Linked DNA regions of Neurospora crassa OR74A. The protein of the gene in region 4 purifies or fractionates together with the protein of the main gene of each other region. This does not show direct contact. Links are inferred from orthologs where the notes say so. Each region holds a gene or a part of one and is shown on either strand. Other genes may lie near its edges. The genes, in order: NCU04485, NCU01367, NCU00115, NCU07041, NCU08951, NCU02428 and crp-10.

Region 1 (4,530 bases), about 1.8 Mb from region 4:
TCGAAGAAAAGAGTGTGGCTACTGTGGCCCAGCAAAAGGAGTCTACAGGCAAGAAGAGAACGAGGGATGATGTGGAGGAGTGGCTGCCGGTGGAGATGGGAGGGGAAGAGGTTCCGGTTGTGGATCTGACGGAGGAACCTTGACGACTGGCCGGAGGTTGAGAATCGCTTGCAAACCTCGAAGGACGATGAAAAGAGGTAGCTATGGATAAGACGAACACAATTGTCGAGGGAAGAATGTCGGAGGCCCAGTGTCTTTCCAGGGGTTTTGCCAGACACACAGAGTTATTTCCTCGGGGAGAGAGATTAAGAAAGGTAAAGGCAAACATCTCGACAACAAAAGCTCCAACTTACATGGCCATGAGGAACTGATGGACCTCGAGTACCACATATTATGGCCGCCATTGTGAAGTGGAAAAGAGTTGCGAGGTAGCTGTACGTGGTTCTGTCCTCATCCACAAAAGGGGACGATCATTAAAGACAAAGGGAGCAACCCTACATGACCTGAATTTAAACCACATTGACCCAAGGACCATTTACAAGACTGGACAGTGGAGGAACGACAGATGGATGTGAACCAACAGAAATCAAAAACTTGCCATTAATATGCTGTTACCCGTGATGCAATCATTTCTTCGCCTTCGCCTTCGCCTTCCTCTTGACAGAGTTGATCAGACCATCGATATCCGCGTCGTCAGTCTTGACCTTCTTGGCGCTCTTCTCACTCTTCTCCGTAACACTGGGTCCATCCTTGCGCTTCTTTCTGCCCTCCTCAAGAAGCTTCTTCATACCCTGAGTAGCCGTGAACTTAGGATTAGAGGGATCAATAGCGAACTCGTGGCTCTCGAAAACGGCCTTGAAACGAGGATCCTCGACGTCCATGGCGAACTCTTCCTGGAGACCATCGTTGCCCTCCACGCCCTTCTTGCCCTTCTTGCCCTTCTTCTTGCCCTTGACCTTCTCGACCTTGGCGATCTGCTTCATGTCGAAGTGATCGAGACGGCCACTGTCACCGTTTTCATCAGCCATAAGCAGCTCCAGCTGTGCCTTCTCGGCGGCGTTGGCAGCCTCCTCAGCTTCCCTCTCAGCCTTCTTCTTGAGCCTCTCCTCTTTGCGAATCGCCGTCTTGGAAGGCACCACAGGCTCAGCAGTGAAGAATGGATCGTCGAAACCGAGATCTTCGCCTTGGTCGCCTTGCTCTTCCTCCTGCTGAGGAGCGGCGTTGGGATCGCGACCTTCCCTCCTAGCAAGCATCTCCTGCCGCTTCCTCTCCTTTCTCTCGCGCTCCTTGCGCTTGTACTTCTCGATGGTCGTCTCCTCCCTATCTTCGTCACCCTTCTTCTTGTCGTTGGCGGATAGTGCTGGCGTGAAGGTGATTTGCATCTCGCCCACCGGAGTATCCTTCTTGGACTTTACCACGGGCTCGTCAGCAAGACCAAGAGCAGCGCGCATCTTGCGCCTGGCAAGCTCCTTCTTGGACAGTGTCTTTTCCTCTTCTGCTTCCTCGGCAGCGGCCCCCTCGGCCTCGAACTGCTCCTTCTCCTCCTCGTCCTCCTCGTCGTCTGAGCTGTCGCTCGCAAGGTAAGCGCGCAAGTCGTTCTCGGCGATATCGTTGCGGCTACCGGTGAAGGCCTTCTTGAGAGCTTCTTTTCTTGAGTAATCTTCGGGGTTCGTATCCCAGGTGAGTTTGACCTTGGAATGCTGGAGAGCATCGGTCACGAACTCCACCGGCTTGTACCCCGCAGGGACGCTGTCGCACTCGTCTCTGGGTTCGTCGTCGAACGTGACATCGTCGGGGACAAATCGCAAGTCGAGGAAGTTGGAAGAAGAAAGATACTCGTTGCCATCCGTCGCCTCGTAGATCTTGTATGCTGTGTTCTTGTCGGAGCAAACCATAACGGCGTAGTAGTAACGTAACCTGTCGAGCTGATAAGTGCGAAGGGCGTCACTGTCAAAGTCCTGGTCGTCTCCTTCCTCAAGAAGCTCCTTCTTGATGGCCTCGTCCGAATCAGAGTCCTCCGAGTCACTGTCGGAATCGGAGTCACTCTTCTTCTTGAAGATCTCCTGGGGAGGACCCTCCAGCTCTTCTCTTTGCATCCTCTGCTTGCCGAACTCGCTAGGGTAGACAGATACCTTCTCGATGCGACCACCTGGGGGCACGAAGCTCGAGAAGAGGGCGAATAGATCGATCGACTTGATATGGTCCCAGTCAATGTTGACGATGGCAACTCTGTTTGTGATCTCGCCTTCCTCAACAGCCTCCTTATCCTTGCGCAAGCGGATACCGGGTCGTGTTTCCGCATCAGCCTCGTCTTCCACCTCTGGCTTTTCGTCTTCGGAATCTGAGGAGTCGGAGTCGGAGTCGTCATCGGATGAAGAAAAACCGCCGCCACGGGCAGGGTCGTATGAGTTGGCAGCCTCGAGTTCGCGCTGAACAATGTCGTCGTCCTCGACCTCGAAGTCGCTCTCGTCTTCCGCTTCGTCCTTCTTTCCCTTGCTGGCCTTCTCTTTGGCCTCGTTGTCTGTGGCGTCCTCGCTCTCATCCTCGTACAGCCGTTCCAAAGCCTTCTTCTTGGTGTCGGTCTTTAGCTTGCGGCCGTACCTGTCGACCTTTGCGACGGCGGTGAACTCTGCATCTTTGAGAACCTTGGAGAAACGCTTGTCGAGCTTGGTCTTTAGGTTCTTTTTTGAGGGCAGCTGGAATCGCGGGTCGGTCTCGAAGTTGGCAAAGCGAGCATCGGTAATCGCAGGAGCGCCATCGCGCTTTTTAGGCTTGTTATCTTTGGGCATGGTGGATGTGGAGATGGTGACTGATGCGATCCAAAATCGAGGATTCGACGGCAGCAAGGAAACTCGCAGATTCGACCCGACATGTGCACAGCACGCAAAGTCCGAGAAAATTTTAGTGGAGCGTTGTTGATTCTGCCAAAGGCGGTCTGCACATGCTAATGTCAAGGTGCCCCACCTAAAACGCCAAGTCCTGTGCTATGGATCAATCCACTTCCCCGCATTGGTGCCCTGGCATGCAGCAAATGGAGCCCGCTAAAAACTCCGTCAAAAGCCAAAGTCCACTGACGCTGTCAGCGCAGGGCTGTTCAACCTCGAAAAACTCCAAAAACGCCATCGTCCTCCAGCAATCCCGTCGATGATTGTCCTCGACCATCCAATCCAACAAATTCGGGTATCAACTTGTCCGTCATTCGGAATCCAACGTATAATCCTGTCATCGCATGCCTCATCGGCCGTCCTTCAACTTATGACCAGAGAACTCCCATTCGACGTCACCCACCCACCGATCGGCCATCCAGTCCTGTCCGCTGTCGCTGTCGCTGGTCATCGAATCTGGACCTTCCACTCGTTAGGACGACTGATATCGCATGAATTGACAGTGTTCGCGGATTGACTACCTACCGAAGATGTTACGCAGGTTTCAGTTCTTTAACTGTTCCCATGCCACATCGTTGCGCCCAACGTAAGGATCCCAACAAGCATCAAGAGCGACAATAGCGTTGTGCAAGCCCTATTCTCTGCCTTGACGTCTTCGTCTTGGTCGGAGGAAATGAGTCGTGAGTAGCTCTCCAGATTCATGGTTTGTATAAGTTGGAAGAACCTGGTCGACAGTGCCGCGTTATCGGATGGGTTGTTAAGGATGTGTCTGGGACGTGGGATCCTGAGATATGAACCGGATGGTTAATGAGGGTTGGATGGCGAGTCCAAAAGATGAAGGGCGTCCGAACAAGACTTATAATTGTTCTTTGGTCCCCATCCGAGAATCAATGGCCCACCACTATTCGTTCCTCACTTCAGGGGCAATCATCATTACACAACTTCCGGACCAAGTCCAAGCTGTTCTTTGTTTGCGCTCAACCAGGAAAGAGATCCTTGGTGATGGTCAGGTGGGGTTACCAAGGCGGGAGTCGAGGCGAATGTCCCTAGGACTGAGCTCCGGAATGCCTCTCCGGGTGTCATCGACTCCGCATGCCTTGCCAACACAACCCCGGAAAACCCTAAATCAGATGTCGATGATGTTCTTGGCATTTTCACAAGCGAGAAGCATCAACAATGCCTGCATCACGTGAGACACCGAGCACGCCTTTCTTCATCAACAGAGTGAACCACAGAGTCCGGATTTGGGTGTTTGTATTCTTCATCCTGCCCAGCTGTTTGGGACGCGACATTGACTCGAAGCCATCAACGACATTCGAGACCTCTGTCAACCACATTCCCGGCCGTGCCAGCGTCGCTTGCCCCTGGCTGACTTCCCGTGAGCGGCTACACACCCGAGACTCATTACTACTGCACTATGCACACACCCGATACGGTGAGCAGGGTAACCAAAACCCGTGGGCCAGGTTGCTCGCGATCGCTGATCACACAGTGCCCTATACAAAGCCACGAAGCTTTGCTTGTGGTGGGTCATGCTCGGTACTTGACAAAGGGTTTTACTTTGGCTCGCAACCACAGTTACTTTAAGTAGGTACTCCCGGGAGCAGGAGCCGGCAGAGGACGGTTGAATCTCGCGTTTGCGCTG
Region 2 (4,623 bases), on a different chromosome or scaffold from region 4:
CGGGAAGAGTCGCCGTGTAGAACAACAACAGCAACATCATCAGCGACAGCCACGTCCCAGCAAGCCCAAGGAAACGGCCGAGACCAAGTCCGAGGAGATCCCCGATTCACCCCCTCCGGCGATGGTCGTGTCTGACATCCCTGCGGTGCAAAGCGCGGAGATGACGCCTATTGACTTGACTGATGAGAACTGAGTGAAGACCAGGAGTATGTGGATTGGTTAGAGCGTTGAATTGGTTCATTGTTGTATGTTTATTGTTGGTGTAAGCATATTCATTCATGCATCTGCCCATTTGCATTGCATGGTCTTGAGGCCTCGATGGCTGGTATAGCATGGCTGCGTTGTCTTTTTTGAAGCTCGTTGCTTGATTGTTTTGGAGTTGAAACTCTCGAACTCCCCAAGTCTTGTACATCTTATCATGCAGGCGGAATATTTGGCGGTATTGACGTCCAGCTAGGCCTCGAGGAGTACCTTTGAGTCGGGTGGCCATCTCAGTCTCGAGCTAGATGATGGAGCCTCAACCTTGTGCTGGAGGAAGAAGTAGCGCAGCGTGATCTAACAAACTACCAATCCTCTGTTGATATTTTTTTCCACGGAGAGCACATTACAAGAAGTTTACCATCCCTTTGATGATATATTGGTGAGAGATTCCATAGTATTTTAATGGCTCTGTGTGGCACAACTTAATCGGAAATCTAGTGGAATGGATTCATGACCAGAAACTTTTCAACTCCCTTCAAATGCAGTGAGGCTACCTAAAAGATATAGTGTGGTATGTACAATACTTGCTCTTTCTACTTTCTCCTTCTCCTTTGTCTATGAACAGCTTGGCTGTCGCGAATGCGATATAACGTCCAGAGCACTTTGTAACAAATTTCAACAGGCGATGATTATTTGGCTCTCTTCTTCCTCATTCTCCGCGTTTCTCCCATGTCCCGCTCCGTCAAACGAGGTAGACAAAACAAGACAGAACAAACGTACGTATGGTTCCCATCTTCTTCCTCTATTCCTCCTCTTCTTCCTCCTCATCGCTCTCCTCCCCCTTAGCCCCCGCTCGCCTAGCAACCTTGGGCACCTCGAAGATAGTAGCGCCGTTTCTTCCTTCCTTCATGTACTTCCACCTTCCCAGCCTCATCTCCTTGCCTGTGGCGACCACGATGCAGATGCCGTCGCGACCGCGGTTGCCGCGCTCGAAGATGGCAATGTCATTGATGATACCCCTAATCAGCCCGCTCTCTTGCTTCTTCTTCTTGTCTTGCGACCCATCCACCGAGGCCTCGTCGTCCGCTTGCTCCTCCCCACTGCTTGCGGTTGCAGGTTCCTTCTCCGCCTTTGCCTTCTGCTTTGCTTCCTCCTTCTGCTTCTGGGCCTCGGCCTGGTCAAGCTGCTGCAGCGCCGTGCTGGAACCGAGCACGCCAACAGGCAAAATCTTCTTCTTGTCCTCGCTCAGGCGCCACACGCGCACGAAGCCGTCCCAGGAGCCCGAGAGAATGACGTCCGAGTACGGGATGGTGCGGAGGGCGGTGATGGCGCGGGGCTGCGGGGTGGGCACCACGCTCTCGTCCGGATTCGCGTCGGCAGACACCTCGGTCGGCTTGAGCGGCGGGTCGATGCCGTGCGCACACGGCTGCGTGAACAGCGCCTTCTTGCGGTTGATGCCCCACAGCGAGAGCGTGCCGGCCGAGTCGCCAGTCACAAAGAGCTCGTCGTCGATCATGGCCACCTGGTCCATGGTGCCATCGTGGTTCACCGCCTGGTCCCGGTTCTTATGGGATTTCTTCTCCGACACGCCGCCGCGGAACACGAGCTGCGACTCCTCGGGAACCTTCCAGTAGCGGGCGGTCCGGTCGCGCGCGCCAACGGACACGCAGCGCTCGCCGGCCAGAGCGTCGATGTCGGGGATCTCATCCTGGTGGCCGAAGAGTGTTTCAACGTAGGCGAGCTCGTCGAGCGACCAGACTTTTACTGTCCGGTCCTTGGAGGCAGAAAATATTTGGTTAGTGCCGCGGCGGAAGGCGAGCGAGGTAACGGCGTCGCGGTGCTGGGTGAAGGCCCGGAGGGGCTTGAGGGTCTCGGCGTCATGGACGACCATTCGCTTGTCGGCGCCGCCGGTGACAACAAACTTGCCGTCGGCAGAGGCCCTGACCGTCAGGATGGCCGCGTTGGTGTGTCCCTGGTATGTCTTGTCCTTTGCCTTGATCGGGTTCGCCCTGTTGAAGCACACTCTCTCGGGTTTCTTCTTGGGCGGCGCAGGCGGCTTCTTTGGCTTCTTCTTGGTCGTCTGTGGCCACTGGTTCTTGGGTAGGTCTTGTAGCTTCCACTTGGTAAGGTAGCCGTCTTTCGTGGTGGTGTAAGCGTACGGCGCGCAAACCGAGACTGATGTTACCGTTCCTGAATTCCATCGAAACTGTGTGTGTGCGGCCTTGTCAAAGTCGAGCTTGGAAGCCAACTGGCGGTAAACCTTGCCCTTGGCCTCGGCCACATCCTCCTGAAGACGCTCGGCCAGCAAATCACGGTCAATCTGCTCGGCGTCAAAGGCATACTCGTCCTCCAGTTCCACCTCTTGTCGTGCCTTGTCCAGATATCGCTGTGCCAATCTTAACCGCTTCTCAGCCGCCGTCTCTCCTTCGTGGTCCGACTCCTCTTCTCCTTCCGACCCGTCCTCTCTCTCAATGTGGTCGCCATCGTCACTGTCAATGTCGCTGCCGGATATCGACTCGTCGCGCTCAACGGCTTTCTTGGGGGCTGCGGGACGTGATTTGGCGGCAGGGCCTCTGACCGACGATGACTTGGCAGTCGATTTGCCAGTCGCAACTCGCTTCTGGGGGGCTTCGTTGGCAGAGGCACGCTTCCTCTTCTTTTCCCCAGCGGGTGCTGTGAAAAAGGACGACATGGTGTTGGCAATTGCGGCCCGGGGCGGTCGGTGCAAATGCACTGGAGTCGTCTGGTGGTAGAGAATGACACTGGAATGTGAATTGGGGTCGCGTTCGGCTTCACTTCAACGCTGCTGCATGGCTATCAAAGTTGAAATTTTTGGGATGGCCGTTCGCGCCTAGACACACCCGACCCGATGGACTTCGAAGAAAAAAAAAAGTTGCCCACCCTGCAGGCTTTCTATCGGTGGAGTAGCACGCCGATTCGTCAAGATCTCCTCCACTGGCTTGGCACAATTGAACGAGTCGGAGAAGGGAATCCCCGTGCCGTGCACTCTACCTTATTGCGTCACTAACAGATATAGGGGCTCTGTCACGCGGAACCGAGCTAGCGAGCTGTTAGTAGTCGGCTGGTGGGGAGGCTCTTGCTGTCTCCAAAAGACGTCCCCGGGCCATCCTGGCAGGTTTCATGACGGAGTGGGGCTGTCTCTCTCGCTGTCTGCTTGCCTGCCCAGTGGTTGCAGCTTTCAGCCCTTCTGGGGACTGGAATGGAAAGATGGAAGACGATAGCGGGCACCTGAACAGCCTGGCCCGTGCTTGTCTTGTCAGCTTGCAGGCTGAAGCTCCAGTGCGCGTTCCCCGTCGCCGTCAGTTCAAGCTCCAACTGCCCTGTCCCGCCATAGGTAGGTAACGACGAGAACCGTGCAAGCCAACGCAACTTGCCAAAGCTTACCAAAACAACAGCATATCATCCATTCACTCACATAACAATCAGCCAAAATGTACGTCGCATCGGTCATGTCTTGGAGAGGTGATATCAGAGCTGATCAGCATGTAGGGAGGTTTTACTAGGCATCACGGGCAAGGACTTTACCATCATTGCGGCGTCCAAGGCCGCTATGCGGGGAGCGACCATCCTGAAGGCATCCGACGACAAGACAAGGTCGCTGAACAAGCACACACTGATGGCATTCTCCGGTGAAGCTGGCGACACAGGTACGGCAGCGATATCGTGATGATGGCGCTTTTGAACCAAACCAAGTTAACCAACTGTTTGTTCCCATCGACAGTGCAGTTCGCCGAGTACACCCAAGCCAACGCCCAGCTCTACTCCATGCGCAACGGGACCGACCTTTCCCCTTCTGCCCTTGCCAACTTTGTCCGCGGCGAGCTTGCGACGAGCTTGCGCTCCCGCAAACCCTACAACGTAAACCTCCTTCTCGGAGGTGTCGACCCTATCACCCACAAGCCCAGCCTCTACTGGCTCGACTACCTTGCGTCGTTGGCGAAGGTCCCCTATGCCGCCCACGGCTACGCACAGTATGTGATCTCGACCGATATCTCTGTACCGTCTTTGATGCGTAGGAGTCATGTACAGAATCACTGACCGGTTCTTTCCTCATCAGATACTACTGCCTCTCGATTCTCGACAAGCACCACCACCCAGACATCACCCTCCACCAGGGTATCAAGCTTCTCAACCTGTGCACCGACGAGCTCAAGAGGAGGTTACCCATAGACTTCAAGGGCATGACGGTCAAGGCGGTAACGAAGGACGGCATCATCGATATCGAGTTCGACGACGACAAGGTGGTTAAGATGGCTTGATTTGTGGGGATGCTTGCTTACTTGCCTGCTTGCGGCTTGGGAAGCCTTGCGGGGGAAGGACAACTCTGTATAATAATACCCATACGACGGAAATGCATGAGTCCAGGTGGCCTCCACCAACGGGAGACCCCTGGCGAATTTG
Region 3 (3,704 bases), on a different chromosome or scaffold from region 4:
GCTGTCAGGATTTCCTTGTAATTGCCCTGGAGGCCCTGATGAACATTGGCCCATGTTCCCGTGTAAAGGTCTGAGGGAGCAAAGCCTTGTTGAGAGAGCTAGCGACATGAAAGGCGTTAGACTGTCAACTATGATGTGATAGGACTGAGAAGCCCGCTTGCAAAGGGTGAGTACTAACCGCAGCACTGGCACCTATACAGTATATCATGGTGAGTAAACTGTTCCCTAACGAAAAGCGCTGAGACGGCGATTACTTACCATAATGGCCGCCTTGGCTCGTGTCGTAGACGGGCTGCTGGCGTTGTTGCTGGTTATGCCCAGCCGAAGACGGATTTTGGGGATCCATGGCAAATATCAATGTTTGGCGAGCAGCGGGGAAACGGGGACTAGTTGGTCGCAAATCGGTGGCCTGTACTGGATGACTTGGGTCAATGTGAATATACCTCTGTCTGTACCAACAAAACTTCAGCTTGAATGTCCTGCTAGCGTCGCGTAATGGTCGCGCTTTGCCGAAGAGCTCTCTGTGTTTCCCAGCCAGGTAGATCTAGCTTCTGCGCGTTGGGCTTAGAAAGAACTATCTATGATGTCGACAAGCCCCTTGGGGTCTTTGTTTACTTAGGACGGAGCCGACGAATGATGATCGCAAAGCCGACTCTCACTCAGAAATCCTGCTTGATTGGGCAGTGCGATTGATTGGCGGGACTCCCTGTTTGGGGAGAGGGGAGCAAGTGGGTGGAGTTCAATGTCAATGGACGACGACTCGCTGCTCCAGGCTCGCCTCTCGTTGACTTCGGGACGAGCCACACGGGCAAGAGCTCCAGTTGGTGAGGAAGGTGAAATGATTGGTGAGATTGGGGGGTGTAGGTCCGTCTTTTGGCGTGAAGCCAAAGGCTGGGAAATGCTATTCGCGGGAACTGGCGGATGAGGATGAGATGGACAGACTAGCAGATAAGCACGTACCTGTGAAGCAAATGGCTTTACTCAAACAGATGCTGGAGGATGTGAAGAGACGGACAATGGAAATAAGAAAGACGGTAAGATGATGATATGTGAGTGAAAGCGGTCAGACTCAGTATAATGGAGAAAACAAAAGGTTGGGCATCAGTGAACCTTTTGAAGACTTTCAACAACTCCCCCTTCAAATGACTGCCGCAGCATTCACTGCAGTCTGCAGCAGAACGACGCCGAAAGACAGCGACTGGCAGCTGTGGCGCGCTACCTGACAAGCTCTGCTCGACGTCGCGGTGGCCCCTGCCCCGAGCCCAACCGTTGACAACTGGCACTCTCCAGCCTCATTTTTTCCGCGCCCAGAGGTATGTATGACGCACGGCCCGGGGCTGTGGACTGCCAACTCATTGGAGGCCTGGCTCCAGTCGTACAAGAGCTTCACGTGACCGTGGAGCTCAGAACAAGTGATGCCAAGCCTTGGCAGAGATGGGGACCGGACGGACGCCTGGACATTTCCCCGCCGACTCCACTCAAAAATTTATCTTTTTCTCGTCCCCAATTTACTGTGAAGCTTCGACTTTTCTTCCCTTCTCTTCCCCTCTCACCAATTGCTTGCAAATCTTGAGCAGCTTTTCCACAGTCTTCATTTCCCGAAACTGTGCATTTGGCCGACCAGCAAGATGGCGGCTTCTGTACTCGGCTTGTCCGATGCTGAGATCGACAAACTCCTTGCTGAAGCCGAGTCTCGCCTTGCGAACTCGGACAGCTCAGATGCTGTCGCGGCTCCCCAGCAAGACGCTGCTGTTGCACCCGCAGCGCAAATCCCCGTAGTGGTTGCGGCTCCCTCGGCCGCTCCTGCTGAGGTGGTGAAGCCAACCTTGGAGAACAAGTCCAAGAAGTTGTCGGTTCGGGTGCCTCAATCCAAGGATAAGAGCAAGGTACGTTCAGCAGTCCTCAGCACGCATCACATCCCTTCCATGATGAAAATCTATCCCATTTTTTGATGACGCAGGTCGGCGCCCCGTCATGGGGTTGCTGTCTGCACCATAATGATTACCTTTATGTTCATAGTTACTCTGACTGGACATCCTTCCTTCTCTTCCGTTCATGCTCTGCGAGTTTGCAGATCGGTATGCTGACTAGAGAAACAGGGACCTAAGAATGACGCTGGCGCCGATTGGTTTAACATGCCCCGTACGAATTTGACCCCTGAGCTGAAGAGAGACTTGCAAATTTTGAGAATGCGTGAGGTCGTCGCCATGGGAAAGCAATACTTCAAGAAGGACACTCGCAAGGACTTTGTGCCCGAGTTCTCCCAAGTTGGCACTATCATTGCTGGTGCTACTGACGGTCGTGACAGCCGACTTACCCGCAAGGAGAGGAAGCGGACCATTGTCGAGGAGGTTCTTGGTGCTGAGGTTGTTGACAAGTACAAGAACAAGTACCACGGCATCCAGGAGAAGAAGCAGAGCGGAGGAAAGAACTTCTACAAGAAACTCGTCAACGGAAGGAGAAAGCGCAAGTGATCCGAACAACACCCTATGGTCAAAACACCTTGCGGGACACCTACGACCGTACCACAACCATCATCATATGCACGCGATTGTTGCAGCAAGCAACGATGCGACACCGATATCAAAACGCCGCTTCCGGCTCCTCGTCGGTTGACCTTGGTCGACACGACAGAGGATCGGCATCATGCAGGGCAATATTGTGTGGGATTCATAGTGTTATCTCAGTCTTGAGCTTTAGTTCGACTGCACAACAGTATCCCTTGTCCGCGTGGCGATCAGAGAAGGCATCTCTGCCAGTTATTGCGAGATTGCCAGGACTTTTTTCTTCTTCTTTTTTTTTTTCCAAAGGCAAAATGGAGAAATCTCCGTTAGATAGCCACGATGTCACAGAACTGGTGCCGTGCGAAGCCGAAAATCGGACAATCCAATGTTTGATAACCATCTGTTTTCTCCTATGCTACCAGTGACTTGTTATTTTGCTTCTGTTCGCTCTCTGTGGCGGTGATTTTTGGTAGCTTAAGAAATGGGCGTCACTAGCTCCTTATCGATAAGAACCCCGAATTGACCCCCCAGTATGGAACTTGCGCTAAAAACTCGGTTGATCCGCGCAGCGCGCGACGGCAACTTGGAGACGTTCAATCTCCCAGACCACCCAGAGCGAAGATGATAATAAGGCCAGTAGTACGGTCCCTCCAGGGACGGGCGGTAAGAATTCTCCTCATGCGTTTGTAAGATGTGTGCGCTTGTGGAATAGTTGTCTAATCTGCTTGGGGATGGCAGCCTCTTGCGACCCTCCGGTCCGCCCAGAGCGTCTTCCAGCCGTTGCCCCAGCTCCGGCGCAATGCTTCCGTGTAAGTGACCAGAGTGCTGCTGAGATTCTTGGGTATGCGCGGGCAGGAACTAAGAGTTGAGTAGGACCACAGGTCCCGATGCCGCCTCTAAGGCGAGGTTAGTACCCATTGCCGCGAATAATCATCCTCGATAACGTCGCCGTGCCTCCGAAACCCGCCCACCCGCTCGTCGAAGACCCCGCCGATGTGCACGCACTCCCTCCCTCCATCTATCGTCACACAACCGAACCAGCCCAGGCGGTGCAGAATGACTGACCGGTATATGCTGCTAGCACCACACCGATCGCCCGGATCACGACGACCACCGAGGCCCCCAAGGACCAGAAGAAAGCCAAGGCCGCCGCTGCCGCCGCCGCGGAACCCGAAGAGCAGGAGGTGATCATGTCCCGTA
Region 4 (3,918 bases):
CTGCGCCTTGGTCACCAACGCCCTCCACCCCGTTAGTCCAACGAGCGGGAGGGCTGCGCCCTCAGCAGCGCTCAGATGCTCTGGCGCGGGTACTGCCTCCGCCTCGGGAACAACAATGTACTCCTGCCCCGTGCCGGCGTCGGTCAACTGAGATGAGCCAATGACCGTCCAGGGCTGGTTGGGGTCGTCGGGCCCGTCGGGGGAGGAAATCCATCCGCGGCTGGGGGTGATGAGGACGGGTTTGCCGACGAGCTGGGAAGCGGCAGGGGAGACGGAAGGGCCAGTGGACTCGACGACGCCGTAGCCGTCAGCGAGAAAAGGTTGCTCGAAGGAGATGCCGGGGTAGAGGTGTTGGCGGATGAAGAGGTCGCGGTGGTTGAGGGCGCAGGACCGGAGGCGGATGAGAAGCTCGCCGGGGCCGGGGGTTGGTTTGGGGATGGTGTTTAGTTGGAGGCTAGATGGGGAGGCCGAGGGTTAGTCATGCGGGGAGGATGGTGGGAGTGAGTTGGTTGGTGGTGGTGATGGGGATATGTATGGGGGAGAAGAAAGGTGAGGTTATGTGAAGAGGAAGAACAAAACACTTACGGGTAGTAAACCTGGCCGGGTTTACCGTCAATTTTCTTGACAGTGAGTTGGAGAGGCATCTTGGCGTTGTGTTTATGTGTGGGTTGTGTTTTACCGAGGCCAATCCACTGGATGAGTGTTGAAGTATGTTCAAGAAGTGAAAGAAGGAAAGGGTCATCAAGTTTAAATCAGTTGCGACATCGGCCAGATTTGTTATCAATTGGACCCGGGGAAAGGGGTGTTGTCACTCTGTCATTGAGCCTCTCCCACCAACCCTGCCACCGACCAATGGCCGCCCCCACTCTCCCCCGCATTCGTTGCCGGATCCCGCTCCAATGATGCAACTGCCTCGGCCCGCCTTGTGATGCCCCTGGTTTGCGATCCGCCGGGGTGGAGCAGCCCGGTTGTGGTGCGGGTCTGCCACATCGGGCTTTATTCGCGATCGTCATCGGGTTTTGTTTCGGCCTTGGGTTTCGAAATGTCGACAGATTCAAGAACCGACATCTTTTCTGGACAAGTCATTGTTTTTGATAACACATTTGACAAAGGCTTTTGGTGAAATTTAGCAACCAGATCACCCTTGGATCCCGAAGCAGGAGAAATCTCAATCGTCTGCTGAAGTATGGGTATCATGGGATTCCAGGATCCTTTCTCTTTCTCTTCATCATCGTCTTCCTCAACTCCATTTCCACCTCCACCGCCCCCATATTTTGGATTGCACCACTTGTACCAGCTTAGTCGCTCGTCTTCCTCTTCTTGGCCTTCTTGTCCGTCAACTCCTCGGGCGGCACATACTCCTTCTCGCGCTCGCGCTTCTTCTCCTCCTTCTTCTGCTTGGCCTTCTCTGCGCGCTCCTGCTCCGCCACCCGCTGCTTGGCCTCCTTGCCGAGAAAGTATTCGCCGGACTCGATCTGGAGATCCACCTTGCTCTTCTCGGGCGCAGGGGGGAAGGGTGTATAGTTCTTCTTGGTCTTGTCGTTGACGACGTGGGGGACGCGGCGCTTGGAAAGCGTGCGCTTCTTGAAGTTGGGGAGGTAACGAGACCAGTCTTCGTGGGCAAGAGCGGGGTCCTTTGCGAGTTCGCGTTTGATCCTGTTTTCTCATGTCAGTTATTGTTGTTGTGGGGCGTCGCAAGTGGGCGTGCAGGCGCAAAACTTACATCAACTCCTTAATCATGTAAATTGGGTGAACGTTGTTCATGGTGTCCTCAACAACCCTCCTCACCTCCTTCAGACCCTTGAAAGGACCCATTACCGACACTGTGTTTCCGTGCACGAGGATATATGTTTGTGTGAGAAGCTCGAGAGCCTTGAGCGTTGTGCCGTTCTGTCCGAGAATTCTTTGGCGCCTCTTAACAAAACGCTCCTTGTTCCGTACCATGCTGCGGATCTTGATGATGTCGCAGGCCATGCCATCTTCGAGAATTTTGATCGCTTGTGGGGCTGGTACTGAACGGGCGAGCAACTTGATGAGATCGCGGGCGTTAAGAATAGCTGCGGGGTCATATGTCTGGACGTGAGTTAGCAAAGAGTGGTGACTATAAAGACAACAAACGCATCCGCCGTACCTTTCTTGTCGTCTTCACTGTCATGGAACCCTCCACCAAATCGAGAACTGCGGTGATGCCGTGCTTGTCGAGGGCCTTGGTGATGAGTGGCCACGAGTCTCGTAGATAACGCTCGCGGTACTTGGGGAATAGGGTCATAAACGAAGACTCCTCGAGGAAGGGGCCGGAGGATTCGTCCTTGGTGAAAGGGTCGACCTTCCACTTGTCGATGTCGTCTGTATCCCACGGCTTCTCCTTCTTGTGTGTGGACGGCATTTTGGCTGTAAATGTGTTTCTCGGGGCTCTTGTGGGCTGTTGATGTTTATGAATAATCAGAGGTCTCGATTGAGGTTGTGCGACAGGTCACGATATCAGGGCGAGCGACTTGGGTCTGGTGGTTGGATTTGATAAATGGCTTGTTGAAGGGATTGTATGGCAAGATGGCCAGCCGAATCGCGCTGCACGGATGGAAATTTTTGGAACACAAGCCTGCCGCAGCTGGTAAGAGTGGGGGCGCGGCGCTTCTTGCAGGTTGAGTTCCGGCTGCAGAAGCGCGACAGGATCAGCGGCCAGCTGGCAGATGCAGGGGCAGCTCCTTATCTGATAACTGGAACTTCCACTTGCATGGAAGTTGTAACTTTTGGAACCTGGTATTTTCATTGAGGACGACAACAGCATAAAAAAGGAGCAAATATAAGAAAACGACCGGATTCAGTTATTTCAAATCTCAGCGAGGTGGAAGTTTGGTTCTGTCATTACTGTCCTGCTGTACTTCGCAACGAGTCTATCCAAGTACTCTTGGCCATCTGCTCCTTTCAGCTGTTTTTTCCCCCCAGGTTGTAGATGTTATCTTATCTACATACTAGCTTATCATGACAGGGGCTTGCACGGCACGGCACGGAACATCAACAAGAAATCACACGTGCTGGCGACATCAAAAGGTCTTGATATGCCATGGTGGGATTGGCGACAAGAGCGTTTTGACTTGCTGGGGTCTCAACGTGATTTGTATACTCCCAGCAGGGCCATTGTTGACACCTGTACCGTCGGTAAAATCTCACCAAGGTGTTCAAGATACGCTGAAGTAATTGATGGTGAAGCATCGAATCCCGCCCGAGTCAAAGTTGACGAACTTAACAGCAGCAATTTTCAGGTTCGCCGTGATAAAGTCGCGGTAAGGCTGGATAACGTTCGTCGTTGGTTTTCCAGCTGAAGAACCAAGAAATCATCCCAGGTTCGCCCAATGAGAACCTGCAAAGATCTGACGACCCTGGCGCGCTGTGGTCATCATGATCGGGCAAGCACAATCTGCACTGTGGTACGCCACGGATTACAGCATTCCGTGCACGAGGTTTCGAAATCCATCAACGTTTTCCGTCAGAAAGGGGTAGGTTCGGTTTTGTGTCGCCAAGAATCAGAACTCCTTCCGTCCCTGCAACATCTTCCCCTTCTTTTTCTTCTTCGGCCCCGCGACATTCTACACTACTCCCTTCGATTTCCCCTTCGTATCCCTGGCGTCGGTCTTTATCCCGAACCCCAAGACCTTCAGGTATCGCTGCTTCTTGTGACCTTTGCCAAGATCGACGGCAATTGTCGTTGTCTATCCTTGAGAAGAAGAGAAAAGGAAAAGAAACAAATCGAATTCATCATAAGCACAGACGTCATTTCTGGGACGTTGACCTCGACCACCACACACCCGCACCTCCCTCCGCCTGCGCAGTCTCGATCCCGAAGTTGGCAATCCCGGTCACGGGCCCACGGTCTCGCTCGCATCCACCACGAGTGGGTCAATTGGCACCGACGCCGCC
Region 5 (4,121 bases), on a different chromosome or scaffold from region 4:
TTTCATCTCTGAGTTCTTCGTTGAGAAGCGCGCCTTTGAGACTGTCGGCATCAACGTCCTCGCTAAGCTGTTTGAGACTGTCGGCCTTTCCGTCTTCCTTACCTGGTGGGGAACGCGCACCAACCCTTTTGAGTAGTGGGTCACCCTATTGTAAAAGAACCTATCTACTACGGTATATCCTGTGGGAACAGTCTGCTGACATGGTTGAAACAGCGCCTCTGCTACCTCCGGATCGCCTACTCTCGGCCGGACAAGCTGGCGTGCCGAGTAAAGGGTCCTTTTTTGAGTAAGAGGAACTCTGGTATGGTTTAATGAAGTTAATGATAATGGGGAACTTGAGTATCGCACCTACAATTTGGAGTGTGGGCGTGTTCCTGGGCATTTCCTGTTTTTTTTCTTGGTACCCTCTGTATTGTATCAAGCTATTAGCATAGTATCAGCATTCCTGAGATGAATGGAAGACGCTGGCGATAACTCACTATTTGGCTCGTGTGCTTGTTGTCTGCTGGTGACCAGGAGTTGTCTTGCATCTGATTGAGTGTTGCGATGGTAGTTGGCCATGTCGATGTTGTGTTGTGTGTCGTGACATAGGCCAGAAGTACAGCCCGCGGCATTCGACCCAAAGACGCTTGAACATATACGAACTGGAAAATGAGAACTGATGAACTTGGTATTCCTTTCTCATATATACCGTACAAAATACAAGTGTTTACCCCGCAACGCCTTCCATATTTTAATGACAGCAAGTAGCCAGCGCCATAAATCCATAACCGAAACCAGGATAGACTAAAACCGTCAACCCATCAATGCTCTCTATCTATAGCTTAGATAAAAGCCCAGAACAACCAAGCCAGCCCATGGGAGCCGACCGGATGTGGTCAATGCGGAAGAGATGATGACCGATATCCGACAATCTTTTCGTGATGAGAGCGAGAGGTGGGAGGAGCCCGAAGCGGAGACAGAAATCGACATCGAGGGAAGAAAAGAGTGATAGAGGTTGTGATTAAGGCGTCACAAACTTGTTCCTCCTTCATCTGTTCCCCAAGCCCAGGCAAAAGTCCATCGAATAACAGTCTTTGCGCTCCCCGCCAGCGTCCAATCTCCAAGATGATCGGTCGCCTGTTTTCTTCTCTCTCAACGGTAAGACGGTCCGATTGTCTGAGCAAAAAGCACGTACGCACACGAACACTCTTGCAACAAGCAGACGCACAATCACACCGGCACCTGCAATAGTGTCATGGTCTCATGTGCTCCCGCTGTCGCCATCATGTCGTTGCAGCCTTTCATCTTTTGTGTGTTTTGTTTCGCTCGAGTCATTGCTCCCGCCAATTTAGGCAGTGCCCTTGACCTTGGCCTCGATCTGGAGCGGGTGAGTACCCTTGACCCAGGGCTCGACCTGGACGTTCCACTGTTTTTGCGCCGTCTTGACCAGCTCCTTGTAGGCCTCGAGGTACTCGGCAGGGTCGACCTTGTCGCCCTCCTCCTTGCCAGAGGACTTCTTGCCCTCGGGCTTGAGCATCACCACCGAGGTGGCGCGCTTGGTGCAGGCGGCAACGCCGAGGTCGGCGCGCGAGCGAATGTACAGGTAGGGAACGCCGTGCTCCTCGCACAGAATGGGGAAGTGCATGATCACGTCCATGGGCGAGATGTCGCCGGCGATGATGACGAGGCCGGGAGCGTCGGCGGGAGGGGAGGCGGCGGTCCGGAGGGGGCACTTCTTGATGGCCTTCTCGCACTCTTTTACGCCGCGGTGGATGGACTTGAGCTTGGCGCCTGTTTGTTTTTTTTAATCAAAAGTTAGCTTGGGTTCAGTACAAGTCGTGCGTGGGCTGCGATTGAGGAGCCTGGCAATGCAATTGGAGAGTAGTCACAAAACGTACCCTTCTTGATCAACTTGTAAATCTTCTTGTGGGTCTTGTCGTCGGCGAGGGGAAGGGCAAAGGGGACGAGGTCCTCGGCGGTCTTGACGACATCCTCAGGGTCGACGGAACCCTCCTTCTCGAGGTGAGCCTCGACGGCCTTGGCGAGCTTCTCGGTCTTCTCCTTCTTCTCCTTCTTGTCCTTCTTCTCCTTCTTGACACCGGCCTCCTCGCTCATCTTCTTCTCCTTCTTGTCCTTCTTCTCGGACTTGTCCTTCTTCTCCTTGATCTTGTCGGTGGCACCCATCTTGTCGGATTAAATGTGTGTGTGTGTTGTTGTTGGTGGTGGTGGTTGGGTGTGTGTAGATAAAGTTGGTGGTGGAGGGGGATGGGGTATCAAACAGGAATTAAAGAATGGTTATACAGACAACCACTGCAGTAAAGAGAAAAAAAAGTTACTGGGTTGGGGCGTCAAGGTATTTGGTATCGTGATGGGGCGGTTGATCGCAGAAATGGATTCTTCAACGCAGATTTTACTGGGTCCATCAAGTGACCCAGTCAATCAAAGCAGAGCGACGCGACCAAAAATTTGTAGGCCAATTGTAAAGCCGTTCCGCCCGGGGGCCGATAATGCAGGTGAGCGCCTGGAATTGGGTGCGATAAGAGGGACCAATTTTCCGATAAGCACGCGATAAGAGGAAATGTCTTAAACTTCCACCTTTTGCTTGGTGGGGCTTTCCATTCAGTACGACAGGGATTAGTAGTAGTCTTGAACTTAAACAAGGCCTGCTTCTAGCCTGCCGCAAACTGGCAAACAGCGGCAGTGCTTTGTCCTTGAAGGCCGGTTGCTTGCCTGCCCCACTAAATTTCTAGAGCTTGTGATACCTACCTCCAAGCGCATTCAGTGTGAGCCATTGACTCACCTCGACAATTCACTGGCAAAAAGTCCACAATCCCAAGCGACATTGGCCCAGTTCTGGAAGCTATTGTTGGAGAACCTTTTTGCGACCAGCAGCCTTGTCATTCCCCCCCGCCTATATCGATTTCATAGATATCCGTCCAGTACCATTCGTAAAGACCATACAGCCTCGAGCAGGGAACAGTCGCACTCTCACTTCGACATCACCTCCACAATACCTCAGTAGCACACAGAGTACTATACACAGCTCATCGCCATGGCGTCGTCGCAAATGAGCTATGCCCCCACGTTGGGCAAGCTCCTCAAGTCTCTCAACACTCAGCCCTTGGAGGCTTCTATCGAGGCTCTTATTTAGTACGCCTACGCCTGCTTCATATCTATCTTATATCAGATCCTAACATGGTTGGGCAGCCTCCTAAAACGTCGCCAAGTCAAGGGCGATGATGTCGCCAATGCCACAGCCCATATGCTGCTCCAGGTCGTCGCCAAGTCTAAGTGGCAGAACGTCGATCAGCTGCTCGCAAAGGTCTCCAACACCGGCCACAGACTTGCCCAAGCTGCTCCCACTGAGCAAGTCATCGGCAACGTTGTCCGCCGAGTAATGGGTCTTATTCGTGATGAGGCTTCCGAGGACAGAAATGCCGACGAGATGGGCGACTCAGTATCCGACCTCTCCCAGCTGCCCACAACGCCCACCATTTCCACAAGGCCAGGCCCCACGCCCCTCCGCGCCGCGACTCTCCCCATGTCCAAGTCCATGTTCAACCTTCTCTGCGTCTCAGAGACCGCACAGTCACCAGTTACCGGCGCATCTACCCCCATGTCCCAGGGCGCATCTGCCAACATGCATGCCCTACGGTCCGAAGTTATCGATGGCATCGAAGAGATTATGGACGAGATCAGCCAGGCGGACGACCAGATTGCGGGTTTCGCGGACATCCAGATTCACCCCGGCGATTACGTGCTCGCCTACCTCCCCTCCCCAACAGTCGAGAGATTCCTCCTCAAAGCCGCAGCAAAGAGGAGGTTTACCGTGTTCATCGCCAGCGCTGAGCGTCAAAAACCCGGCGAGGTGCCCCATGCTGCCCTACGGAAGAAGCTCAACGGTCTCGGGGTCAACGCCATCAGCCTGGCTAGCAACGGCTTGATGGCCTATATGCCTAGGGTGAACAAGGTCGTTATCAGCGCCAAGGCCGTATATGCGAACGGCGGTATTTCCACAGAGAGTGGGTGCAGTACTGCTGCTAGGGCAGCGCAGGAGTACTCCAAGCCCGTTATCGTTCTAAGCGGTGTTTACAAGTTCTGCCCCGTAGATCCGTCGGACGATGGGACCGAGTTCGAGC
Region 6 (4,340 bases), on a different chromosome or scaffold from region 4:
GAGTGTAAAATTAGCATGTCAAACGGTGCCAAAAAAAAAAAAAAAAAAAAAAAAAAAAAAAAAAAAAAAAAAAAAAAAAAAAAAAAAAAAAAAAAAAAAAAAGGCCCAATAACCAAACCCAACTAGACCGGAAACTGAACGACGTGCTCGGTCTTAAGTCTTACAAAAAGTTTTTGGGCTTTCCATGTATGAAGAATATCAAACTATCATCATATTTTCATTTATAAAAAAAAAATTTCAAAGAAAATATTAGCAACACTACATTTTACACATCTTTCCTGTTACCACTGGGTTGTGTGTTCCTGGAGCACAAGCATTGTAGATCATTCAAACCCAAAAGATCCAATTCACAAATTTGCAAGGCACAGCAAAGGCGGGGAGTGCTCCAGTGCGCGTTCATACGAACAGTCTCGGGAGTAAATGCCAGGCTGACGGCAACTGGGATAACCATTTCATATCCACAGGTGATATGGTCCTGCAGCCCATGATCCAATCGGTCTGAAGACCCAGTGGCCAAACGCCAATGCCCAGGGTGTTACTTTCCGCGGTTTATTGGCCGAATGAAGAATGCCATGTGAGATACATCAAGGCCTGTACGCTTCTTGTACATTGCGAGTACACGGCACTATTCGTCAGGCTTTCAAATGGCCATGGAAAGAGATACAGGCACGTGAAAATGAAATCAAACGAGCTTACGCAGCAAGGGAGACACATTGTTTTGCAAATGCTTTATTTGGGAGAATAAAGGCATTGGGAAGGAGAGGAGGGTAGTGAGGCGTCGCAGTCCGAAAAACGAGCAACCCACGAAAACACTGACCTGTGGTAGATGGCTACTAGGTAGTAGTGCTGATATCGTGTAAGCAAAAAAGAAGGATGACAAAACATGGTTCCAGTGCGTCACTTCCCATTCTCTACCACTGATACTAACTGGGCAAGTCGCTACTTGCCCTTCTTTCCGTCATGGCAATGTCTGAGTTGGAATGGCGCATGGCAAGCGTTCGCTCGACAAAAAATTGCGTTTCACTTGACCCGAGAACTTTGTATCCGCAAGAAGATAGTATTGACTAGCTAAGGCTGGACGTATGAAAGAGCTAGGAAGAGGCGAAGAAGAGTATATGACGAAAGGAGAGGAGGGAAGGCAGGCCAGGTTGAATGGTCTTGCGTAGACGATGAAAGCGTCTTGAGTCCGTTGTTGAACGCCCCATGTTTTGGTTGCAAAAACAGCGACAGCGCAATCACAGGCGACCCAAGTTCCGGAGGCTCTAGCCCGCAAAATCGCGATGTTGTATCACGAAGCTGGCCAAAGCCCCCGCAGCCTCTCTCACGCGTGAGAAAGGCAAACAGACCTTTCACCCATCCCTCCATGTTCCTCACCACGGTTTGATTGTCGATTAAATGATGTCCCACGCATCCTCAGCGGCGTGACAGAACTTGCTGCACGCTACGCTGGCTGACAAGCTATAATTGCTGATGGAAATCTTCTCATCGACATACTCATCCGCAAAGTTATCGGCGCCCTTGGCCATGGCGCCTACAAAGACGCAAATGCTCTCATTCTCGCCCAAAGCGTCGATGTACTCGCGAACGCGCACAACGGGGGCGTCGAAGCTGAGCGTAATCTTGCGGCAGTTGGGAGGCAGGTGGTCCGTAATAGGGTTCTGAATCACCTTCAAGAGCTTTTCCTGTGAGTTGGTTCCCTTGATGGACAGACGATGGAGAAGCTGGACCATGAGACCAGCGAAGCGCTTGAAAGTGCGGGGTATACGGACAGCAGGCGAGACCTCGATCAGGACCCCTTTGGCGGTCTGGATATAGATCTGCAGCCTGCCGGCCTTGTTGACGGGCGAGTCAAGGAGCGTGAGGAGGCACTAGAGTACACAAATGGCGAGTGTCAGTAGCAGTATCCGCATGTTGAATGCAGACTGGGAGTGTTTCCAACCTGGTGAGTAATGTCGGGGCGAGCGTCACTGATATCTCTGTTCATCTTGCGCATGACACCAATGTGCTCATCGCTATTGAGGAGCGAGTATTTTTCCTCTCGCTGCATGCCCATGCGGCCAGAGCCGCCGTGGGACGCCTTGTAGGTCTCGAGACTGGCGTTGGAGAGTACCACGATGAGCCTCTTAGTATCCTTGTCGGTAGGTGGGATGGGCATGTGCTGCTCAGCAACGAGTTGGGGCAGTGCCGGAGGAGGGAGCGACTGGGTGCCTGCCATGGTCACGTCGTGGTTAGACATGTTGAAAACCTGAAGCTCACTCAATAATCGAATAACCAAATGTCCGGGGGCAACGACAGGTAGGAGAAATGGCAGGCGGCGGCGCTGGTAGAAACGGTAGGTTTGATGATAGTTGCTGATATGGTCGTCGTGATGGTGCTAGGGACGGGACGATGGATGATGTGTAGCCAAGAGAACGCAAGAATGGAGACAAGACGGCCTTTCGAGTTTTCGAGCGAAAAAAACGAAATGGCATTGGCCACCATTGGCGATCAGTCAAAAGAGAGTGGGGTACCGAAGTTCCAGGCTTCCCGGGCCCCTCTTTCCGTGTACAGTAGTAGTACGTCTTTGCGGCGTCTTTCCCGTCAGGGTGTTCCCGTCGATTTTTTTGTTTGATTTTTTTTGGTCCTCTGCGCTGCGCATGCGCTATGATGCTTGGCAACAACGGAACCGGGACACACGCAGCAATACAGCTTGGGAACGCTCAAGCCCGCCCCTCAAACCTCCGAAAAACTTCATACCTCGAGCGCCGCAACACCTCGCATTCAGGGCCCAAACCAAAATGATTATCTGACATAGAAGAGATTAAAAGGTCGAGGAGGGTACTTACGAGGCCGCTTGCCAGCACGGGGGTGTTCTGGGGAAGATGATCCGGACGACATGGTGGCAGGGGAGCACGGAGCAAAGACAACGATGGAAAACCAAATGGACCCTTGATGGCAGCAAGATTGAAGCGGAAAAGTTGGAGGAAGAACGAGACGAGAGCCCAGAGCGCGGGTGCGCGGGCGCACGTGCCCTTTTATATGTTCACGAAGCTCGATAACACGACCTGGATAAACCGACTGTGTGGGGCCATACGAACTGAGAGCAGTCAGCCCCTACCCCAAGCTTGGCATTGATATCGCGCGCCGGCAACCATCAGTCCTCACAAGAAAGCATCGTTTGAAATAGTCTCAGTCAGACCCACAACCTCCAAAACCACCCCACCCCACCCGTTTCTGCGGTAGCAGGTCTGAGCCAATTTTGAGCATTTCGGCCGTCAGCCGCTGTAGGACCCAACTATATATTATTATATATTATAAATTCAAGGAAGCTAGTAAAGATAAATAAAAATTACTCTTATATAGAACATTTTATTCTGATTCCAATGGTAGCCTTAGTTCCCTCATACGACTAAAAATCGTCGAAATACAAGGCTTTGAACTTTTGGACTTTTACCCCCTCAAGGCTACATTACTTTAATGGGTGGTCCGAGCTTTATAAAAATGGTACCGTCAGAACCGCCTTCCCAAGGCTTACCCTCTAGGCTAGCCGTTAGCTTCTAGTTCTTCCTTCTACATCATTTTTCATAACGCTTTCAAATATCATCATACTATTATTTACAGAGCGCTCCAATTACCCGTATCAAATAGTAGCTACAATTAAAAATTAATTAACCAAACTAAACCCCTTTCAATTAGAACCTTTAACTAAGTAAACTAATTAATCTTCAAACGGTTCATTAAACCTCTAATCGCAAAGACCCTATATCGCTCAACACCAACCCTGCAATCGCAAACAATAATAACAATCCTTTACTATTATATCTCTAAATCCTTCCCAATCCTTCCCTTATACCTTCTCCCCGCGCTTCCTAATTATACTATACCAATTTACTTGTATTGGTTCGTATTAATTAAAATATTATATTATACTACCCTAATCCGAATACCTACAGACCTCAATATAAAGGGTAACCCCGTCTACCAATTACTCAATTCTTAAACGTATTTCTACTCCTACTTCTTATCTATACTCCTACTAAGTACTTTCTTTATTCTCAATACTATTATTCATTAATAATTGTAATTAAATATACTATAATCTAAAAGCTAATTTCAATACTATAGCTAACTATAATTTAACTAACCCCGGCCTAGCTAATAATCCGCCTAATAATTTATTAATATATAATAATTTATTTTAATAAGAAAATTACTTTACTAATAACTTTAATAACCTAATTAATTATAATAGTACTATCGTCGGATAAACGAACTATCCTTCAACCTATAGTAAATTACCCTTTACTAAATTAATCCAACTACCTCCTAGATTAATAGCTTAGTCTAATAAAATTAAATAA
Region 7 (4,629 bases), on a different chromosome or scaffold from region 4:
CAAGGCATGGGCTCAAGGCGCAGTCCAGATCGTTATGTACCAAACCATTCTACCTACGCTATCTACTTTCCCAGATGCACGCCTAGCCTTTAGTGCAACGGACGGGAAGTTCACGTTCCACTCTACCACGATGTCGAGCGCGAGAAACAGAAAAATAACGGTGGGAATCGGTGTATGGGCCCCACCACCAAGTTTGACCGAACTTGCCTAATCCGAGACCGCAGTCTCGAGGTCTGCATCAAGGAGAGTTCCCTCTTCTGAAGGGATAGTTGAGGATTTATCTGAGTGTATACCATGAAAGTCTTCAGGGTAAACGAAGATGTATAAAGAGGGGCGTATAAGTGAAGAAGAACCCGAGGCACCCCCAAAATCTGTAACGAATGGAGCGAATTGATTGTCGATCTATACACACAACACAGCACCTTTCAGACCAAGCAGAGCAAAGACCGGAGATATAGACAACAGATCGAAGTGAGGAGGAGGAGAAGGAGGGAGGGAATTCACAAGGGATTCATTTATATATGGGGACCAAGACAGATGGATGATTGAAACCAATACAACAAGAAAAGTGTTATGCGTGTCCTGACTCTCTTCTTCTTCTCCGTGAGTTAGGTACAACGTGTGAAGTATCTCTACCTTGTTTCTTATTGGTTCCAAGTACGAGCGGGTGCCTTAATGATGTGTTACCCCTTCATAGGATCCCATATTCCCAACTTTTCCGAGTCCTAACTGCCCCTAGACACTATATTCCATTACTGTTATACCTCCAAGTTGTGTATTATTCCCCTCAAACGTCCATATCCTTTTCCTCCCTTTTTAAACAAGGGACTGGTGCCAGAACAAGATCCAGATTACTTGTCTCGAAGTATCTATTTGTTAAGTCTTGAACGATTGAGCAGGAGTCTGTCAGCTTGAATATCCAAAGTCGGTGTAACCGTGTATTTCAAAACAACGTCGGAGCAAGTGAAGACAGAGCTCATTTAGTGTATGTTAACATTCATCAGTCCTCCAGTGTTCGTCAAATGTTCGGTGTGAAGCTACTATGCAAAGACGGGAAATCTTGAACGGTTGGATATTTGCGGGACACTTGAGCTGAGAGTGGCTGATGTTTACCTGCTTACATTCCATGTCCCGATTTAGGCCATGATATCATATCAACAAACCTACGGACGAATTTCTTCACATGCCTCACTTAGATTGGTGCCTATATTCCATTAATAGTCTCCTTCATCACACAAAAGGATATGGCACAATTGGCAATCGCAAAACAAGGCAAGGAAGGAGGGCTTGTTCAGGTATCTTATTTCCCTGGCGAAAGTCAGGAATTTCCCGACGTTGCTGCATTGATCGTGGGGTTACAAAAAACAATTATAATCCCAAGCAACAATCCGTCCGCCATTTCCCCTTTTCGCAAGTCTTAATGCAAATGTGCTATGACCATAGTTGACGCCAAATTGAACCCATCCATTTCCGCAACCCAGTGTTTGTTTGGACTTGCAAGCACATTGAAAAAAGACCCCGCCCAAACCCAGCGGCCTTTACCAGACAATGGAAGTATCGTCCGCGCCGAAATTGAACTCCGCCACAGGAGCGACCTCAGGCTCGTCGAAAGACACAGGCACCTCGATCGAAGGCAAAACCTCATTTGACCCGACCTTGAGGTTATCCTACTCCTCAGCGGCGGGGGCAGCGGCCTCCTCCTCACCGGCCTGCTCCTCCTGGCGGGCAGCCTCAGCGGCAGCCTGGACCTGAGCGGCCTTAGCGCCGTAGTCCTGGCTGATGGGCTGGGTAACGGGCTGCTCCTCCTTGGGCTCGATGATGGTGACGGCGTCAGGGAGAGACTTCTGGGGGCCGGACTTGCCCTCGGGGTCAGAGCCGCGCATGATCTTGACCTTGATACCGAGGACACCCTGGCGAAGGAGAACGTGGCGAGTGGCAGAGTCGATGAAGTCCTTAGCGGGCTGACCGGAGTGGATCATGAAGCCATCGGTGAACTTCATGGACTTGGCGCGAGCAGCGCGGAGCTTGCCGGAAACGACGACCTCGCAACCCTTGGCACCGGACTCCATGATGAAGCGGAGGACACCATAGCAGGCACGACGGACGGCAAGACCGTTGAGAAGCTTGTAGCGGAGGGACTCGCACTGAGCGACGGCGGAGAGACCGCGGTTCTGGACCTTGGCGGCGTAGAGGGAGACAGAGTTCTCGGGGAACTTGAAGCGCTTCTGGATGAGCGAGGTGAGCTCACGGATGCGGCGGCCCTGCTCGCCGAGAACCTCCTGGGTGTGGGTGGCGCGGATGATGATGTCGGTGACGGTCGGGGTAACGCGGACCTCGACACCGGAGTAGCCCTCCTCAGCGAGCTCGCGCTGGAAGAACTCGTTCAGCTCGGCGTAGAAAACGCCATCAGCGACGAACTTTCTGCGCTTGGAACTGTAGACAGAAAGAGAAGCAGTCAGCATCAACGCCGCTTTTGTTGTTTTCCAAGCCACCACTTTCTAAATCCCACCCCGTCGGCTGAATCTGCTGCAACCAGCGGGCAGCATATCTCCCGGCTTCGTGACTGAACGCCTTCGTTTTGCATTTGCACCCCCACAGCAGCAGCAGATCGCACCGACGTGTAGACAGTCGTGAAGACGTGTAGTAGACATGTAGGAGGCTTCCATGCTCTTGGTTTGCTCTGGTTGCTTACATCTGGGTGCCGGGAACAGCCATTTTTGCGATTTGGCTATGAAGGTCCTGAGGGCTTCAATTGTGCTGCTGAGGAGGATGGAGTGGGATACCTTCTCGCGGTGTTCACCGGACTTTTCAAAAAGATGGGGGGAAATTCGACCGGCACAGCTACTTTTTTTGCGAATTCCTTGGTGGGCTGCCCTCTGCCGCTTCTGAGTGGCTGGCTGAGTAGGGTTAACAGCCGCCACGGCTCATCCCGGCTGGCAAGCGGCTGGCAATCCGCACCCAGTCTGCGCGCCCAACGCTAGGTAGGAGCCGCCAAGCGCAACCCAAAAAAGGAGATACGTACAGATCTCACATGTGGGGTTGAGGTGCTTCCTTGCGCTTCCCGTCCCCGTCCAGGCCCAGCCTTGCGCCCAGACCACCTCGTGCACTTCACTTCCTTTGATTGTCAGTCGTTGCTGGCTCGGGCAATTTCTGACACCGGCAGGCACCATGAACGTTCCGTCCTCAGTCGGGTTCGGGGTGGCGCTGATAGTGGGGTGTCCATCGACGTCAATCGTCGCTTCCCCGGTTCCAGAGCGCGTTGCACTCCAGATGCTGACTTTCTGCTTGTTCGCAAATCGCAGTCACTATTCGCATACCCTTGGATTCGGACGGCAGGAGGATTAGCAGCAGAGGTTCTGTAGCTTACAAAGTTACCAGTCCCTGTCGCCTTTAAATACCTGTCCTCCAAATCGATTCCACGTGGACCTCGGGGACAATCTCTTGAAATCCCAACAAGTTCCGCGTGAATCACTTATCGTTGACCGGCACCAGTGACTGCGCGGCGAAGTTCCTCCTTTTCGTTTATATCAGGACACATGTTCCTAATTGGTACATTTTTCTGTTTCCCAGTCCTGCAGTCTGGCACTATTGTACAACTACGATACATCTTAAGCGAAGCAGATTCTATTCTCCCCGTTCCTCTCGCCGCAACCGCATCTGTCAACACGTCTTGCGCTCCTGTCCGGACACATTGGGTCTCGGACGTCCGGTCTCCTACCTCGGCTGCACAGCGCCTCATAGTGCCGGGGTAGTTAGTATTACCTCCCAACATCACGATGGCGGCGCCTCACCTCAAGCACGTATGCTCTCCATCATCTACCTTTCCAACTACGTCTCGTTTTCTTTACTGAACCGAATGCCAGACTTTCGCAAACATCCATGCCTTGCGAGGCGGAAAGCCGGAGCTCGGCGACCTTGCGCTCAGTGACTACCATCTCGTCTTCCGCTTTCCCCCCGAGTCTTTGACTGCCGCAGATCCGAGTCTGAAAAAGAGTGTGAAGCAAGTGTGGTTTGCCTTCCACATTATTTCACAGTGCACCCTACGGCCCACGCCCCCTTCTAGTGGCGTTCCTTCCTCGATACGTATTCGGTTCAGAGATTTTACATATGTTAGCTTCAACTTCGCAGGCGACAAGGAAGCCCGGGAGGCATTCGAGTTCATCAAGTCCAGAACATGCAAGCTAGGAAGCGTCGATAAGCTGCTGGCCTTCAGCTACCGACCTCCACCAAACTCACCCGAAAGTAAAATCAACGGTTGGGACCTATACGATGTCAGAGCCGAGTTCCGCCGGCAAGGGATAAGCGAAAAGTCACGCGAACTGGGATGGAGGATCTCTACGATCAACAAGGACTACTCCTTCTCCCCGACCTATCCGGCCTTGCTTATTGTGCCCTCCAAAATATCCGACGCAACACTGAAGTATGCTGCGAGTTACCGGTCGCGGCAGCGAATACCCACTCTCACCTACCGCCATCCCGTCAACAACTGTACCATTTCACGGTGCTCGCAACCACTTCCCGGCATATCATTCAAACGCAATATTCAGGATGAATCTCTAGTCAGCGCGTGCTTTTCAGCTTCGACGGAGTTTGCAGGCGGCACCTCTCTCGACATGCCAGTTGAAAGCC

Evidence for each region.
Region 1: the proteins of NCU07041 (region 4) and NCU04485 purify together in Saccharomyces cerevisiae (affinity purification with mass spectrometry; 3 studies listed by BioGRID). This does not show direct contact. The link is inferred for Neurospora crassa OR74A from reciprocal best matches to the Saccharomyces cerevisiae genes KRR1 and ESF1.
Region 2: the proteins of NCU07041 (region 4) and NCU01367 purify together in Saccharomyces cerevisiae (affinity purification with mass spectrometry; 6 studies listed by BioGRID). This does not show direct contact. The link is inferred for Neurospora crassa OR74A from reciprocal best matches to the Saccharomyces cerevisiae genes KRR1 and RRP9.
Region 3: the proteins of NCU07041 (region 4) and NCU00115 purify together in Saccharomyces cerevisiae (affinity purification with mass spectrometry, with the first as the bait; 3 studies listed by BioGRID). This does not show direct contact. The link is inferred for Neurospora crassa OR74A from reciprocal best matches to the Saccharomyces cerevisiae genes KRR1 and FCF2.
Region 5: the proteins of NCU07041 (region 4) and NCU08951 purify together in Saccharomyces cerevisiae (affinity purification with mass spectrometry; 3 studies listed by BioGRID). This does not show direct contact. The link is inferred for Neurospora crassa OR74A from reciprocal best matches to the Saccharomyces cerevisiae genes KRR1 and NHP2.
Region 6: the proteins of NCU07041 (region 4) and NCU02428 purify together in Saccharomyces cerevisiae (affinity purification with mass spectrometry, with the first as the bait; 6 studies listed by BioGRID). This does not show direct contact. The link is inferred for Neurospora crassa OR74A from reciprocal best matches to the Saccharomyces cerevisiae genes KRR1 and EMG1.
Region 7: the proteins of NCU07041 (region 4) and crp-10 purify together in Saccharomyces cerevisiae (affinity purification with mass spectrometry; 5 studies listed by BioGRID). This does not show direct contact. The link is inferred for Neurospora crassa OR74A from reciprocal best matches to the Saccharomyces cerevisiae genes KRR1 and RPS3.

The regions. Positions count from the first base shown.
Region 1 is NC_026504.1:3,203,817-3,208,346, reverse strand, and holds NCU04485 (pre-rRNA processing protein Esf1), read right to left. Parts: upstream 2,858-4,530; 5' UTR 2,790-2,857; coding exon 627-2,789; 3' UTR 381-626; downstream 1-380. Other genes in the region: NCU04484 (hypothetical protein), read left to right, coding at 1-143. UniProt on the Saccharomyces cerevisiae protein: Involved in the 18S rRNA synthesis. Required for the early cleavages at sites A0, A1 and A2.
Region 2 is NC_026505.1:3,790,840-3,795,462, forward strand, and holds NCU01367 (rRNA processing protein RRP9), read right to left. Parts: upstream 3,081-4,623; 5' UTR 2,894-3,080; coding exon 1,004-2,893; 3' UTR 688-1,003; downstream 1-687. Other genes in the region: NCU01366 (hypothetical protein), read left to right, coding at 1-193; pcb-4 (proteasome component C11, variant), read left to right, coding at 3,654-3,655, 3,712-3,869, 3,944-4,193, 4,280-4,481. UniProt on the Saccharomyces cerevisiae protein: Involved in nucleolar processing of pre-18S ribosomal RNA. Required for efficient pre-rRNA cleavage at sites A0, A1 and A2, and biosynthesis of 18S rRNA.
Region 3 is NC_026503.1:2,663,760-2,667,463, reverse strand, and holds NCU00115 (rRNA-processing protein FCF2), read left to right. Parts: upstream 1-1,515; 5' UTR 1,516-1,628; coding exon 1,629-1,886; intron 1,887-2,099; coding exon 2,100-2,474; 3' UTR 2,475-2,904; downstream 2,905-3,704. Other genes in the region: CCAAT-binding transcription factor subunit AAB-1, read right to left, coding at 1-98, 179-192, 259-346; NCU00114 (30S ribosomal protein S10), read left to right, coding at 3,126-3,167, 3,243-3,313, 3,378-3,410, 3,586-3,704.
Region 4 is NC_026504.1:4,998,567-5,002,484, reverse strand, and holds NCU07041 (90S preribosome/SSU processome component KRR1), read right to left. Parts: upstream 2,566-3,918; 5' UTR 2,387-2,565; coding exon 2,132-2,386; intron 2,074-2,131; coding exon 1,724-2,073; intron 1,657-1,723; coding exon 1,299-1,656; 3' UTR 792-1,298; downstream 1-791. Other genes in the region: NCU07042 (alcohol dehydrogenase), read right to left, coding at 1-454, 586-644. UniProt on the Saccharomyces cerevisiae protein: Required for 40S ribosome biogenesis. Involved in nucleolar processing of pre-18S ribosomal RNA and ribosome assembly. Essential for vegetative growth.
Region 5 is NC_026505.1:5,798,276-5,802,396, forward strand, and holds NCU08951 (ribosome biogenesis protein Nhp2), read right to left. Parts: upstream 2,420-4,121; 5' UTR 2,167-2,419; coding exon 1,881-2,166; intron 1,774-1,880; coding exon 1,331-1,773; 3' UTR 582-1,330; downstream 1-581. Other genes in the region: NCU08949 (hypothetical protein), read left to right, coding at 1-135, 214-271; NCU08952 (translation regulator GCD7), read left to right, coding at 3,035-3,132, 3,190-4,121. UniProt on the Saccharomyces cerevisiae protein: Non-catalytic component of the H/ACA small nucleolar ribonucleoprotein (H/ACA snoRNP), which catalyzes pseudouridylation of rRNA and is required for ribosome biogenesis.
Region 6 is NC_026507.1:2,520,911-2,525,250, forward strand, and holds NCU02428 (nucleolar essential protein 1), read right to left. Parts: upstream 2,960-4,340; 5' UTR 2,878-2,959; coding exon 2,826-2,877; exon of another isoform or gene 2,237-2,825; coding exon of another isoform or gene 2,209-2,236; coding exon 1,940-2,208; intron 1,869-1,939; coding exon 1,392-1,868; 3' UTR 716-1,391; downstream 1-715. UniProt on the Saccharomyces cerevisiae protein: S-adenosyl-L-methionine-dependent pseudouridine N(1)-methyltransferase that methylates pseudouridine at position 1189 (Psi1189) in 18S rRNA.
Region 7 is NC_026503.1:4,034,730-4,039,358, reverse strand, and holds crp-10 (40S ribosomal protein S3), read right to left. Parts: upstream 2,876-4,629; 5' UTR 2,716-2,875; coding exon 2,693-2,715; intron 2,434-2,692; coding exon 1,668-2,433; 3' UTR 673-1,667; downstream 1-672. Other genes in the region: NCU11185 (protein phosphatase), read left to right, coding at 3,777-3,800, 3,864-4,629. UniProt on the Saccharomyces cerevisiae protein: Component of the ribosome, a large ribonucleoprotein complex responsible for the synthesis of proteins in the cell.